Arabidopsis thaliana: one gene and its partners. The protein of the gene in region 1 interacts with the protein of each later gene in a pairwise test. Each region holds a gene or a part of one and is shown on either strand. Other genes may lie near its edges.

What was found.
Region 2: the proteins of BEE3 (region 1) and ATH1 interact in a two-hybrid assay, tested with the Arabidopsis thaliana proteins (one large-scale study listed by BioGRID).
Region 3: the proteins of BEE3 (region 1) and WRKY36 interact in a two-hybrid assay, tested with the Arabidopsis thaliana proteins (one large-scale study listed by BioGRID).

What each region holds. Positions count from the first base shown.
Region 1 is NC_003070.9:27,758,244-27,762,060, reverse strand, and holds BEE3 (BR enhanced expression 3), read right to left. Parts: upstream 2,121-3,817; 5' UTR 2,035-2,120; coding exon 1,663-2,034; intron 1,553-1,662; coding exon 1,436-1,552; intron 1,348-1,435; coding exon 1,282-1,347; intron 1,208-1,281; coding exon 1,139-1,207; intron 1,036-1,138; coding exon 958-1,035; intron 799-957; coding exon 715-798; 3' UTR 505-714; downstream 1-504. UniProt on the Arabidopsis thaliana protein: Positive regulator of brassinosteroid signaling.
Region 2 is NC_003075.7:15,914,133-15,919,922, forward strand, and holds ATH1 (homeobox protein ATH1), read right to left. Parts: upstream 4,022-5,790; 5' UTR 3,408-4,021; exon of another isoform or gene 3,257-3,407; 5' UTR 3,074-3,256; intron 2,757-3,073; 5' UTR 2,742-2,756; coding exon 1,893-2,741; intron 1,801-1,892; coding exon 1,457-1,800; intron 1,365-1,456; coding exon 1,304-1,364; intron 901-1,303; coding exon 733-900; 3' UTR 538-732; downstream 1-537. Other genes in the region: AT4G32970 (BRISC/BRCA1-A complex protein), read right to left, coding at 1-168. UniProt on the Arabidopsis thaliana protein: Transcription factor which may be involved in the signal transduction pathway downstream of the COP1 gene. Controls floral competency as a specific activator of FLC expression. Is responsive of the nuclear import of SHOOT MERISTEMLESS (STM).
Region 3 is NC_003070.9:26,276,357-26,281,196, forward strand, and holds WRKY36 (WRKY DNA-binding protein 36), read right to left. Parts: upstream 2,900-4,840; 5' UTR 2,761-2,899; coding exon 2,695-2,760; intron 2,516-2,694; exon of another isoform or gene 2,169-2,515; coding exon 1,632-2,168; intron 1,531-1,631; coding exon 1,417-1,530; intron 1,329-1,416; coding exon 882-1,328; 3' UTR 592-881; downstream 1-591. UniProt on the Arabidopsis thaliana protein: Transcription factor. Interacts specifically with the W box (5'-(T)TGAC[CT]-3'), a frequently occurring elicitor-responsive cis-acting element.

The DNA of each region.
Region 1 (3,817 bases):
TGTTGTAAATATAATGTAGACACTTCCAAATATTAAATATTCTTTTTATTTTTCTTAAAACTGAGATTTGATGACTATTGTTTTGGACGTTCAAGGCTTTCCAGCTGTGGCTGATTTGAAAATTTGAAGAGATTATATGTATTTTTCCTTGTTTTTTACTAACATTGATATATATTTCTTTGTTTCATACAAAAAAATAATAAGTTTGAATGTTTGATACTACATTTACGTGACAACATGATTTATATTTTCTATAAACTGCCTTATAGGCTTATATTCGAACTTATTATACACTAATCGTATTATAGTTTTTAACTAGCTAAGCCGAAATAACATTCCTCATTACTATTCTCTAAAGTGTGATTGATGAGGAGGCTTCGCTTCTACAACTTTCAAAACACTTTAAGAATCAATCATATTGTCAAAATTATTGTGGGATCTTACTAAAACTTATGTCAAAAATATGGTTGGATAGACTGACACTAATTCATTGTGGTTCCGACTTTTGTCTGCTCGGTAAAATTTTGATCGTTATGTATCCCCACTTTGAATGCAATCTCGAGGCAGTATATATATTTGTAATGTCGAAGTTACACAAGTATACATATCATATGGCATCGAGATTTCTTGAAATTAATCTTTAAAAGTATCTTTTTAAATCCAAAAAAAGGAAGAAAATTAGAAAGACAAAAAAAGGAGAGCAAAAAACAAAAGTCAAAGGGTCCACGATGATGAATGGAAGACAGAACTCCCATCCCTCCCTTGACCCATCTCCACTGCCTCACGTGCCTTTGCCTTCTGCGCATTTTAATATTCCAATTAAAAATCGATATTTAAATCATCTAATTATAATCACATCAAACCATATAGTTAAATTAAGAAATAAATAAATCATAGCAAACATCACCAGTCTTACGAGAAAATTTTAATTAAAAGTTATAATTCTAGATTCTGTACCTGCATGGATTCCACAGCATCAGTCTCCGAGTTAAAGTCATAATACGAACTTGCTGCTGTAAGCTTCATAGATAAAAACTGAGTTCACATAAAAAAGAAAGTAAATTAGTATAATTATTGAAACGAATGGAATTGGTTAGATGACCTATAACTTAAGAGAAATTAATTGTTATTGTTATACCTCGACTTGATTTTGTAAGGACTGGACGTAATTAATTATCTCATCAAGCATAGTAGCCATTCCCATTGTCTGCATCACCAAATATATATTCAATAAAAGAACTAATAATATATTTTCTTAAAGTCTAAGCAAAATATAATCACCTTATAACATCCGGGGACTATATCTTGCAAGCATTTCAATCTCTCGTTTATTTTCCCTCGTCGAACCTGAAAGTTAATTTTAATTTTTTTACTCATAGTTTTCATTTATATTATTTATGTACACTATAATTTGTATAGAGAAAATCAATTTTACCCGTTCTGCTATGCTGTGGCTATCAGTGGCTTGGCCTCTTCTAGCTCTAACATGAACAACTTCTCTCTCTTTCTCTTCTTCTCTATTCTTCGACCTCTTCCCTCTCCTTGAAGAATTCTGTGATATCAATAAGAAAAAAGAGAAAAACAAAGTTAGATTAATTCATAGAAACTGAGAGTACTCTAATATATGTGTGTGAAATTAGGGTTTCTAGGTTAATAAAATACATTTTTTGTCGAAATATTTCCATTTATGGAAACTTGAGCAGAAGAGGTAGAGAGAGTTTGATCAGAGACACTGTTCTCCGACGTAGAAACAGCTTCCATTAATGATTTTCTCTTCTTGGTATCGAATTGTGAAGAAGACTCTTCGTTGTTTTGGATATTAGAAGGGAAGAATATCCCTTGATGAAAATTATTCTCGAGAGATTTTCCGGGAAAATGATCAGGGAATTGATTATGAAAGAAAAGAGAATCGAGAGAAGAAGAGAAAGGAGGAGGAAATGTTTGGAAATGATGAAGCGTGTTGCTCAGTTCTGCTAGTTGTCTTATGGGATCATCCATTGTAAATGTCTGAAAATCAGAAGAGAGATTCGCCATTTCTGAGTTTCAATTTTTATTTTTTTTTTGAAAATTGGTGAAAATAGAAAGTGGCTGTTTTCGAGCGAGTGGCAATGTTTATATATAGACTAGAGTTTTCTTATTATTATTTTTTTGAAAAAAATTGGAATAAAAGTGGGGTTAATCAAAAAGATGAGAAAATAAAAAAGGAGGGCCAATGAAAGTGAGAGTTATGGGATTTTTGTATAGGAGTGGGTCACACATAATTTATCAGGAGATATATCCAAATAGAGAAGTGGGCCAACGTTTGGTAGCCGGACCAGTGAGCACTGTTTAAGCAAACTTCTTTCATTATTTCTCAAGGGGGAAGTACTTACTTAAGACCTCCTCAACAAAGTATTTTATTTCAATTGGTGCTCCCTTTTCTGCTTTCTTCTTCTAGTCTATTGTGATTTGTGACCAACGAGCGAGTAATCCAATCCTATTATCGTACATTGATTGCATTTGCTATATGGATTTAAGATTTCATTGGTTATACAGTTTTAGTTATTTTACCGTTTAGTATTAAACACTTTGGTAAGAAGAATAAAAAGTTGTATGGATTATATTCAAGAATAGTTTGATTGATGATATTCACTGGTTTCAAATAGTATTAACATTTTTAGTTAAATAGTACCTATTTATGTTAAACAAAAGAAATATTTTTGTATGATACTTATAATGTGATGTGATAGTATACGAGCTAAATTAATGTTGGCTATTTATAATTTTTTTTTTTTTTGGAAAACAATATGTGGATTATGCAGATTTACATCCGAATTAAGACGTATCGACCACCTTGCCACAAACTAGTAGCAGAATACATGTCATGATCGATTTATCTATATTTATAGTTTATTGAATAAACATAATTAATTAACTTAGCTAGGTCTACTTTGAAATTTAAAATGTGGTCTAAGTTGAAACTTAAAATGTCGAAATCAATATAAGTTCGTTTTAACTTGGTTTGGTGTCTCTAGACTTCTGAAAACGTTTTTCTTTCTGGTATATTTTACTATATAGTACAATTAGGTTCCTATCAAATTAAGTAAATTGACCTATCACTATATACCATTTTCAACTGATCAAATCACATGCAGTTACATATGCATTCAAGACTCAATCTAACTTGTTGTTTTGACTTTAGGCATTGTTATTTTTAATACAGTACTTAACTAATTGACACACCGGAAGTGCTGATAACAAGCATAAATGGTCAAATCTTTTGAATAATTGTTCGACAATCTTTTTAAACCCCTTGATTTTTTAATTCTTTTTGATAAAATAAAACCCCTTGAATTTCCAAAGCTTTTTAGGAACAGACGACATATATAAGATTTTGAACGAGTCTTTAGTCCCTAATAGTGTTGGACAAAAATAGCAGCCAATTCAAAGTTTTTGATTTACAACTGAAACAAATAGCAAACCCCAACTTGAAGAAAGAAATCCAAAAACGACATAACTGAGGAAAACAGTAACTGAATACAAGATGTATGCTACATATCAAACTTTACATAACATACCAGGCCCGACCATGAGTGTATTACTGGGTCTAAAAAAACAAAACAAATAACAAAAACATAATTGTAAGAAAGAAAAAGTCAATTGATGGCAAAAAAAAAAAAAAAAAAAAGAAAGAAAAAGTCAAAAAAAAAATTTGTAAAATTTGAGACCATAAAAACTAAAAGAGTAGTAACTACTAAACATTCAAAAGAATTTTACTAAAAAATGTTTTGTCTTCAATTTTAAATACATTTTGAGGTTTATTAGTTTGATGGGTTTT
Region 2 (5,790 bases), on another chromosome or scaffold:
TAGCTTGAGGCACTCGAGCCTGTTCAAAGGCTTACCGTTAGTTCCAGTGGTCTTCATCTCCACCGTCGATTCCGCATCAACATCGACGCATATGAGTATGTCTTCGCTGGGTTCCACCGAGTCTCGAGTGGCTACAGCTCCGGTCATGGTGGCTCTGTCTTCCTCCATTCGCCGTAAAAGGCTCCGTCTTTACACTTTCTTCCTCAGTTTTAGCAAAGTGTCTTCCTTTTCCTACTTTCTATTTCTAATTGTGTCCGTACCAGATGAAAACGCTGCGTTTTTATTAGTTGACCGAAGATTCTCAAGTCAAACCAAAATACGACGTCGCTTGCTAGGAGATTTTCGTCATTATTCATTTCAGTTTTTGGAATAATAAAACTCACTTGTAAGAGAAAAAAAGTTAAATGCAAACGGTGAAATAAAACTTTAGGTTTGTATTTTGTAGTTTGTTTGAATAAATATGAAAATAAATCTTCAGTGGTTACATACTTTTTATATATTTTCATGAACTTAATTTTATTTTTACGTAAAAATGGTGATCATGAAGTTTAATGAGGATGATGATAATTATGATATAAGAATACAGGATAATAAAATGAAATAGTCAAAGATAAAGGAGTTGTATATACAATTATAACATACGTAATGATAGTCGTACATGGTTTAGGTTTTGGGCAATCATAGAGTAGCAATTGCCTAATTATCACAAAGTTGGTAAACACAATTGTTGTCTTATTTATGCATTGCTTGGCTCATCATAACAGATTTTGGCATTCGAAGAGTTGGTCCGTTGGGTTGAATGTGACTGTTATTGAGCTTCCTCTTGTTCATTTCCGCATACATCTCTTCTATCATCGGCTTCCATAGCCTAACCCGCGCATTTATAAACCAGTTTGATACCTTTAATCACACACAACAAAGAGACACACTCTATATCATTTGCCCGCTTTAACTTACTTCAGTAACAAAACATATGTGCGACTACAATCCTAGGACTTGAGTAACATTATTGTGAATTCAAGAATACATAATCTAGTCTCATTTGTAGTTCAAGAGAAAAGCTTGATTTTTTCCTAGCCCTAATCTCATCTTAAAATAACCAATACCGGTTTTTCAGACATGACTAGTATGTCAAGATATATATTACTCATTTGAATACCATATTTGCTATCATTGTGAGCAAAGATGTTATCAATAAGTCATTGCATAAGAAAACAAAGATCTTATCAATGAGTCATTGCATAAGAAAACAAAGCTTGTTATCAATGAGTCATTGCATAAGAAAACAAACATGAGACATTACCTGACTTCTTGTCAAGCCACTTCGTATAGCTAGAAGATGTTTCTCCGAATCTTTCGGGTAACTGCATTAAATAAAACATAACTTTGCTTATAAAATCGAGTTAACAATGTCATCATCATAAAGTAGATAGTTAAGAAGAGTAAGGATTGTTACGGGTGAAGGAAGTTTTGGAACATCCAATTCCGTAGAACCGAAACAGATTTCTCAGGCAAACCTCGTTGAGGTCTCCAAATCTGATGGTTCTTTCGTTTCAGCTGCTGAAGAAGGCAATGCTGGTGGAACATAGAGGTTTCTTGAGTCTTGTCTTTGCCTCTCTCCAATACAGATCCCATAGAGATTATCTTCTTGCAGATTCTCTCTCTCAGGTTCTTGTATAAGAAGGAAACGGTTTGGAGGGCAAACCGGGTGTGTAACTGTGGATCTAACTCGGTTGCAGCATGGAACGCTGATATAACCGTATGAATCTCATCTACGCAATGACTATATCGATCATCCACCTGAAGAGAAATATCAACTCATAAAACTTCATCATATATATCAAACCATTTTTTTAACTTATGCAAAAAAAGTGAATGAATATATTACATACCATTTGAAGAAGATCCAAGAGATGGGTTTTCTTTGCTTCTAATGCTCTCCTTTGAAATGTAGATCCGAAACCCGCCTCCGAGTTATTAGAATCACCATCAAGAAACTCAGTTATATTCTCAAAACGTGAAGTAAAGGCTGAACTAGCAGCTCCTGACTCGGTTCCTCGAGATGAATAATCGAGCGAGTATGCGGCGAAATGAGATAGTATTTCTTGAACAGAGTGAAGGTATTTTGAGCCAAATATAAGTTGAGAGAAACCTTGAGTAACAACGTTATTAGAAATGTCTTTGCTGCTGCAAGAAGCTTGCTCTGAGGCTAATCTTGTAGCTGCACAAAGACTTATCTCCGAGCATTCATCAGAAACATCTGATGCAAGACTCAATGAAAGCTCATTGTTTCTTTTATTCGAAATTAGAAACGGGAAATCTTCTTCACCGAATGTAGACATCATTGGTTCACTTGGACCAACTACACCTGAAAATGCCTGAAACTCACTATTTGCTTCAAAACCCCACATGTTGTTTGAGGAATCATCATAGTGTCTTAAATGATCCAAAGGATGAAGTGGAGGAGGATGAGGAGGAGGAGCCATGAACTCAACATTGCGGTTATCTTGAACATCGATAGACCGTGGAGAAGATGATAAGTATTTGTTAGTCAGCATAGAATTGAAAATATCAAAGCCACCCATTTGTAGAGGATCTGATCTGATGGTATTCCATGGAAGCATTGTTGAGAATGAAGTTGAATCTTCTCTTGAAGGTATAAAATCCATGAGAAGAGGATTTTGGTTAGTCATGACATTATCCAGAGAACTAAAAGTGTTGTTGTTGTTGTTGTTGTCCATTGGGTTTCTATGAAACTGCATTACCAAAGAAGACAAGTATTTAAGACTTAGACAAAAGATTTCAGAAAATCTAAGAAACCAAATCTTTGGAGAATAGTACTAAATGTAAAATGCTGCAAGAGACAGAGAACATCGCTCACTATGTCATTAAATATTTCATTAAAATATATAAAGAACCGAAACATGAGTTAATGAAGCCGTAACTAGGCTCAATGATACACAGACCAATAATATCTCAAAGCTATCTGTGATAAACAGTGAACTAATAAGTAAAAAAGAAAGCTTTAGATTACTACAAATGTCCATAGAACATTAAAAATGTTGAAACTTGCCTTTATCCTTCTTCTTCTGATAGAACCTTTGGGAAGATTTCAGACAACACAACGTTCCAAAGAGAATTTTTACATCAAAATTTCCAAAATGTGTGTTAAAAACTGAAGAAGAAGATAATGCTTATTTATCTTCTTTCTCCGTGAAAGAACAGTGTACTTTCATTCCGCAGCTTCTCTATGTTCCTAAAGAGAACCAAAAAGCAGAAATCAACAATAAAGTTAGTATTCATAAATTAAAGAGAACAAAATAATGCAACAAAACTGAAAAAGAGAAAAGTGGGTCTGATTAATCTCTTTTGCATGAACGCAAACACTTACAAAAAAAATTACTTACTTTTTCTTACAATAATTTCATGAAGAAATTCATAATCTTCATCATCTGCCTCACTAAAAGATTCAGAGCACTAGATCAACAAATAGCAACATTTTATAACTAAATAAACAAACCAAAAGTTGTATTATCGAGGGGAAAAATACAACTTTAATATTCAAGAAAGAAGAAGTTGAAAAGAAGGAGGGCCAAATCACGTACGGAGCTGCCTCTGTTTATGACACGAATCCATTTTCATATCTTTAAGATCTTCCGACCAAAAAAAAAGATAAATCAGAATCAAGAAAATCTTATATATAATCACTTTCTTAAAATGTCATTTATTTAAAATGTTGTTCATAGAGAAAGAGATGAATCTAGTAAAATTATCTAAAGAAAATATATGGTTGAAACAGAATCGAAATCCAAAAAAGAAATCCAAAGACATGAAGAAGACCGATGTGTTACTGTTTACTACAGAGAAGTGCACTCATTTCTGTTGCAGGCTTTAAATTAGGGAAGAGACCCTACATTTTACTATTTACATGTCTCTATATATATATATATGTATGTGTCTCTATTTATAAAATTTTATAAAGTTATAAGAAAATGGTGTTGTCTTCTTGTGCTGGTTTCAATTATCACAAATCAGAAAGAGGGAAAAAAGTAAAGAAGGGTGAGATCTTTTTTAGCCATTTAAGGAGAATTGATGAGATGTGTGATCCATTTGGGTTCTTGCTTTTTCTTCTTTCTTTTCTCACCACTCGTGTCTTTGTATTGTGCCATCAAATCTTATATCCATTTACGTATTTTTTTCATATAAGTTTTTTACGTAAGCTTTACAAAAATATCAATCAATTTGCTTGGCCTTTTCTTTGATTGTTCCTTTCTTATCATTTTTATTTATTTATTTATTTATTTTAAGTTCAATGTGTCGTTATGTGTTACGTCTTTATTATCATGGCTAATGATGATGGAATTGAACTCTATTACTCGTAGACTATATAGATTGCAACATCTGAAATTATGCTCTTCTTTATTACAACCAAAAGAAGAAGAAAATCTAATGGTACTTGATTTGATCTGTATTAGCGTGACTTGATCTGTATTTTAAATAATGTTAATGGTACTTGCCTAAACAATGACTTTCTAAGCTGGTATGAGACAAAGAAAAGGGTCAAGGACAAGTATCTTGCATGGCCACTCCAAGCAAAATTGGATATTGATTTGGTGAAACAGTTATTGTTGTTCGTATAGGACAAAATTATTTTCAATAGAAATCGATAATTATTGATATCATATCCTTATTATTGTTTGCTTACAAGTCTATATTATTTAATAGTTTGAAATTTTGATTTAGTAAAGCAGAATAGTATCAATAACACTAGGAACTATAGTACCGACTATTAACTGAAGCTGGAATGCATCTTTAATCATGCCTACGATCTTAATCAATAACACTTATTAATGTTAGACTATTAGACCCGTGCTCATAACTTTTGGGTCCTAGGCGAATTATAAAAGTTACTTTTTTTTGTTGTCTGATAGTCCAAACAAGAACTTGTAATGCTTTTTCTAAAATGAAACAAAATGTACGTTGGCTATGGAGCCTATCGACTCCAGCACCAGCAGATGCTTAATCTACTCCATAGACTAGAGCGCTTTTTATCTGAAGTCGTATAATTTCCCAAGTCATTTGGCTTAATTATTGTGTATCAACTTATACTATATGCTACTGATGTCTTGCTTAGAATATTATACAAGTTCATTGACTTAGAATTATATATAGGCAGACTAAGCAAAATGGGAATAAATGATCACAGAGGGCATTAACTAGTTCACTGAGGTTCAACAATCTACTTGATCTTAACTCCTTTCGAATTAATATAGAAGTCGAGCACTTGAGGATCAGAAAACACACATTCATTCTCAGTGTCTGAAGCACTTGAGGGTCAGAAAACACACATTCATTCTCAGAGCGGCGTATAATTTTAAGATGTCAATCGCTCTTACGTAAAGATCGATAGCCATCCACCTAAACATATGCAATACTCCTTCTGTGAACAAGAAATTTATTGATAAAACCAAGTGTGTTAGCAAGTTAATCTTTACATAGAAATCAAGGACTCACTCTTAATGACCAGCAAAGTGTGTTAGCAAGTTGAGTGACCAGCAAAATTCTAACCCTAAAAAAGTAATGTAGAAAGCAAGCCCTCATTATCACCTTTACCGTGACATTTGGATTTCCATCTCTATCACCACCCATCCAGGAACCAAACTTTAGTGGATTCATTGATGCAATGCAGATAGAAGAAGAATAGAAGATGATGCAATGCAAGAAAGACATCCCTTGAGAGAGCCCAAACCATTCACCTTATTCCAATACATTAAAAGGTGTGGTTTTTCC
Region 3 (4,840 bases), 1.5 Mb from region 1:
GTCAAAAGAGTTTAACAGCGTTATAACCGGAGTCGCTGACGTGGATGGGCCGAATTCTAAGATAGAAAACGGTAGTAACGGGCCTGAGCCCAAGATTGATTTAAAAGTAATATCTGATGGATCATAGTTTCATACGTTTTCTTTCTTTTGGTCATTTTGTTTTCTTTCCTTTTTAAGAATCGACCATCTAAACATTTAGGTGGCTCAAACAATTCAGACATCTTCATTTCGGTCAAATTCATCACAAATTTATATTTGATAATTGAGGGAAGTAAAATAATCAATTCTTTTATGTAAATAATTTTAATGGTGACTACAATTTTGACCATCAAATTAGTAAATGTCTGTAGCAAAAAATAATAATAATCAAATTAGTAAACAATACGTATGTGATTTCAAATAATAATACGTTGTGTTGATAATTTGTCAAATAACCCACTATTTTATGTGATGCTAACTAAAGTTTATTTTGTAAAAATCAAACAATTTTGCAAAAGTGAAAGAGGGAGATTTTGTCAATCTGCATGAAAACCACCTTCCATTTTAGATATCATTGTGTCATCATAGTCATACTTACTTAATTCACCAACAAAAAAAATTAACATTGTATTTAAAATTTTTATAAGCATAAAAAAATATTTGGTGTATCAAATTTGTGTAGACCATTAATTTACAAAACCTTCATATACATATATAATCCATGATATGATAGGTAATCCACTAATTTAAACATTTGGATATCTACAAGTATATAAGCATTTTGCATATCATGCCAAAACCAGATCTCTCTTTCAGAGGCTGAAAAACAAATGAATGACAAAGAAAACGGAAATCAGTTACTTTCTAGACTTGTGTCTAGCTATACCGATACAGTTACTGGCTTATTGCTGTCCGGAAAGTCTCGTTCGATAACGGGCCAATAATGAATCTGTACTCAACGGAGCTTGTGTTCGCAAGCCACTAAAGTTCAAGGTGTGGTCATGCGATGATGGAGGTGGAGGATCTGGAGAGGAAAAGTTGAGACTGAAAGAGGAGGACGATAGAGGGTAGTCGTCTGGTAACTGATTGGGATAGTTTGGTCGTGTGAGGTCCAATGTTACAGTCGGGTGCGAGTTAGTGGTGGAGATAGAGAAGTGGTGAAAAGGGAAGAAATAGCTTAGACTCGCTGAGGTGGAGGAGGAGGAAGAGGAGGAGCCAGATTGTAATAAGGAGGCAGCCGCGGAAGTTCCAGCTGCCATGTGGCTTGCTTCCATGGGGAGAGGATGGTCATGGTTTCCTTCGTACGTTGTCATAAAAGCGGAGGTTTCTTCTTCTCCACATCTTTGCACCTATAGACATTCGTTTTAAAAGTTTTTACTCAAAACCAATTGTTAATAAACAGATATTTGGATTGAGAAATTATAGAATGTATTATACCTGTTTTCTAACGGGACAATTTGACGACATGGAGCAACGGTAATAGGCTCGTGGGAGAGGATTGGTTTTCGCAGTCTTTTGACCATATTTCCTCCACTGGCAACCGTCGTTTATCTATATATATTCATGTAACGTGTATATGATCAAATAATTAAATTAGATGTGAAATGGTAAATAAACACATATATGTAATGTATGGTTTTGATGGTACGTACTGATGGGTCTTCACATGATGCTTTAACACAAACCCTAGTTTTCTTCAAACCTGTTTGTTCATGCTCCTCCAAAACATCTTGATGGTTTTCATTTCTAACTGATTTGACATCTTTCCTCGAAGATACACATTTATTTTCAGCGTTTGCAAGCTTAACCTGCCTACAAAGATCATCTAGTTTCGAGGCTTCATAGCTTTGAATCTGAAATCCAAAACCCAGTGCAGATCTTTTATCTTTTGACTCCTCTACGTTCTTAGTAGAAATCTTGTCCACCTTATTTTCCTCCTTTTTAGAGATCTTTTGCTCTGATCTTCCAAGCCTAAGTGATATATCCACATCATAGTCGTTATTTTCATCTTGACGATCAATGTGGTCTAGCTCCATAGACGAAGCTCCTTGTTGTTGTCCGAGAACTTTAGAGACTTGCATTTGAAGAGAGTTGTAATTATTAAGAATCGTAGAGAGTAAGAGCTTTAATTTCTCATTTTCTTCCCGAACTTTCTCCACCTTTGCTTTTGTTGCATCAAGCTCCTCTTCCTGTAATATCCAAGACACATTTATATTCACTTTTTATCTAAAAACTGTTTGGACCTATCTTCTAAACTTCTACGATAAATAGTTCTCAATACACACAAAGTAAATAGTATTATAAAAGTGAACATGATCGAATGCCAATAAAGAAAAAAAGAAAAAAAATGGATCGATCCGACCTATATTAATTAGAGCGGATCTTAATTATAAATGTTTTCATCCGAAGTTTTCTAAATACCGGAAAATCTTGGTATCCTTGAGCATTAAATAACCGTCCCAAAAAAAATAATGAACTTTCGATACTCGAGACCATTTCCGAACAAGCAAGTTGACTTTTATCAGATGCAGTAAAACTGTATTAATTTCAGACATAAGAATTATATGGTAACTATATGTAAATATATAACAGAATCATATGATCATGAGATTAATTCTAACCGATTGAAACACCAGAAGGAGATTGAAAATAAAACAAGAATTAGAGAAATTTGTGGTTTAAACGGTTAAATCGAGAAATAGTGTTTTGTTTTACCTTGTCAGATTCTGCCATAACACCATCGAAAGTTTGGAAGTATGAAACGGTCTCCTCTTTGATCATGCTATTATATGATTCAGATGCGATCTTGAGATCAACTGGATCTGCTCTTTTTGTTTTTCTTCTTTACATCAAAAAAAAAATTATTGTCGTTTTCTTTTGCCTAACTAGGTTTTTATAGGAAGGGACCCAAAGCCAACAGACTTTGACTTCGCATTTTAATAAGAAGATATACAGACTAAAAATATTGTTTATAATGGTAATCACCACCACCATGTTACCAGCTTCGTCTCTATTCTTGAATAATCTCAACCAGACGACTCAGCATTATATAATAAGATAATGCCAATCATATAAATAATATCAAATTGTATTGCAATCCAGATGGATCTGGTCTGAACACTACTTCGGAATATTTCGTTTTTTTTTTGTTAATTGGCATCATAATTAAAGCATAGTAGTTGACATTGAGGCAACTAAAACAAGTTTTTTCTTTCTTTCTTTCGTCTGTACCGGAGTACCGGAGTACCAGATCATACTAGTTCTTCGCTAACATAAAGCTGTATGCATGGGAAACAAAAGCTGAGAGAGAAAAAAAACAATATTTTCTCTCTTTTTTCTTAGACCTAATATATGTCAAAAATTAATCCACAATCATTCTTTATAGGCAGTTCAGGGGTGAATGTATTTTTTGTGATATATTTGTATGTTTACTAGCTAGTTTTTAGATAAATTTTCTTTAACATTTAACGATATCTATTAAATATAAGAAATTTATATGTATCTTTAATCCTATAAAAATACACATATACTGTATACGCATAAATTTATGATCGGAACAAATATTCTAATTTTTTTTATTTATGTGCTATATTTTGATCTTTTTCAAATTGAATAAAGCAATCTATTTATCCAGCGTTAATCACTAACGGACACCGCATGAAATGAGTGCATTTTGTAAAAGAAACTTTCAGCTGTAAAACGCATTTTGTTCTCTGATCCAATGAAAAAATGACACATCATCGATCTGCAGCTACTTAATTACGTTGACCAGTTGGCAGAGTTGATTAAGTTTATGTTAGTCTTAAATTGCTAATTAATAGACACTGCATGAATTTTATAATGTTATAAAATTATAAGAATTTCATAATGAAAAGTTTATGAAATGTTAATTTATGACTAATGCAAGAACTTTCTATTTGGAAACGTAAGTTAAGGGGTTTATTAAAGAATAGTACAATATTAGAAAGGCTGCTTTATTGAATGATAATACAAACAACGAATGGTCATTTTATATTAGTTGAATACTTTATCGAATAACTTTTCTTTTTGGTGAAGATCAAACAGAGCTTTTTTCATCTTCACACGCATCAATGAGATCATAAGAAACCGAGCAGTACTTTTTTCAATCATAGAATACAATTATAACAAGCTATATCATGCAACTCAAAGTTTCTCCAGACTGGTCTCTTGTTCGACTCCTAAAATTCATCTTCCACAATCCGAGTGGGTTTACACCGTCGGCTTCAAGATTTTAACTAGGATGGACTTCCTTAGAAACTACATTTGCTTCTTTTAGTGTGTTAACCAGAAAAAAAAAAGATTTTCAACTAAAACTGAGACAATTAGGATTCCGAATACAATTTACATTGTTTGGGGATATTTCTTATAGCTCCACACAAACTTTTATTTTGAACTTATACTCCATCATCGTTAGACGATTTCGTCAAATCTCGTCTTAAACCTGAATCATTTGTCTATGGAAGTAATTTTATTTATTGTTTTAATATATTCGTAACGAGCAGCTAAATCACTAATACAGACATATATAAGGATTTTATAATTAAAGATTCTTCTGAAATTATCCTATTTCAAATAAAGTATACTTTTTAGATTAAACATTTAAATTTATATCCGAAATGTCATTGTAAATTAATAATATTCGATTTCGTGGCCTTGAAGTCGACCAATAATAAGGAGAGAAAGGAGCGCAGGATCCGGTTTTATTTCTACCATATATACGATGTCATTCCAATCTAGTGGTATTATAATAATCTAGATAGTTGAAATATTTATAATTTTAAAAATGCAAAAAATAATTTTTTATTACACAATAATGATATTATAGTCAATGATCTCTTAC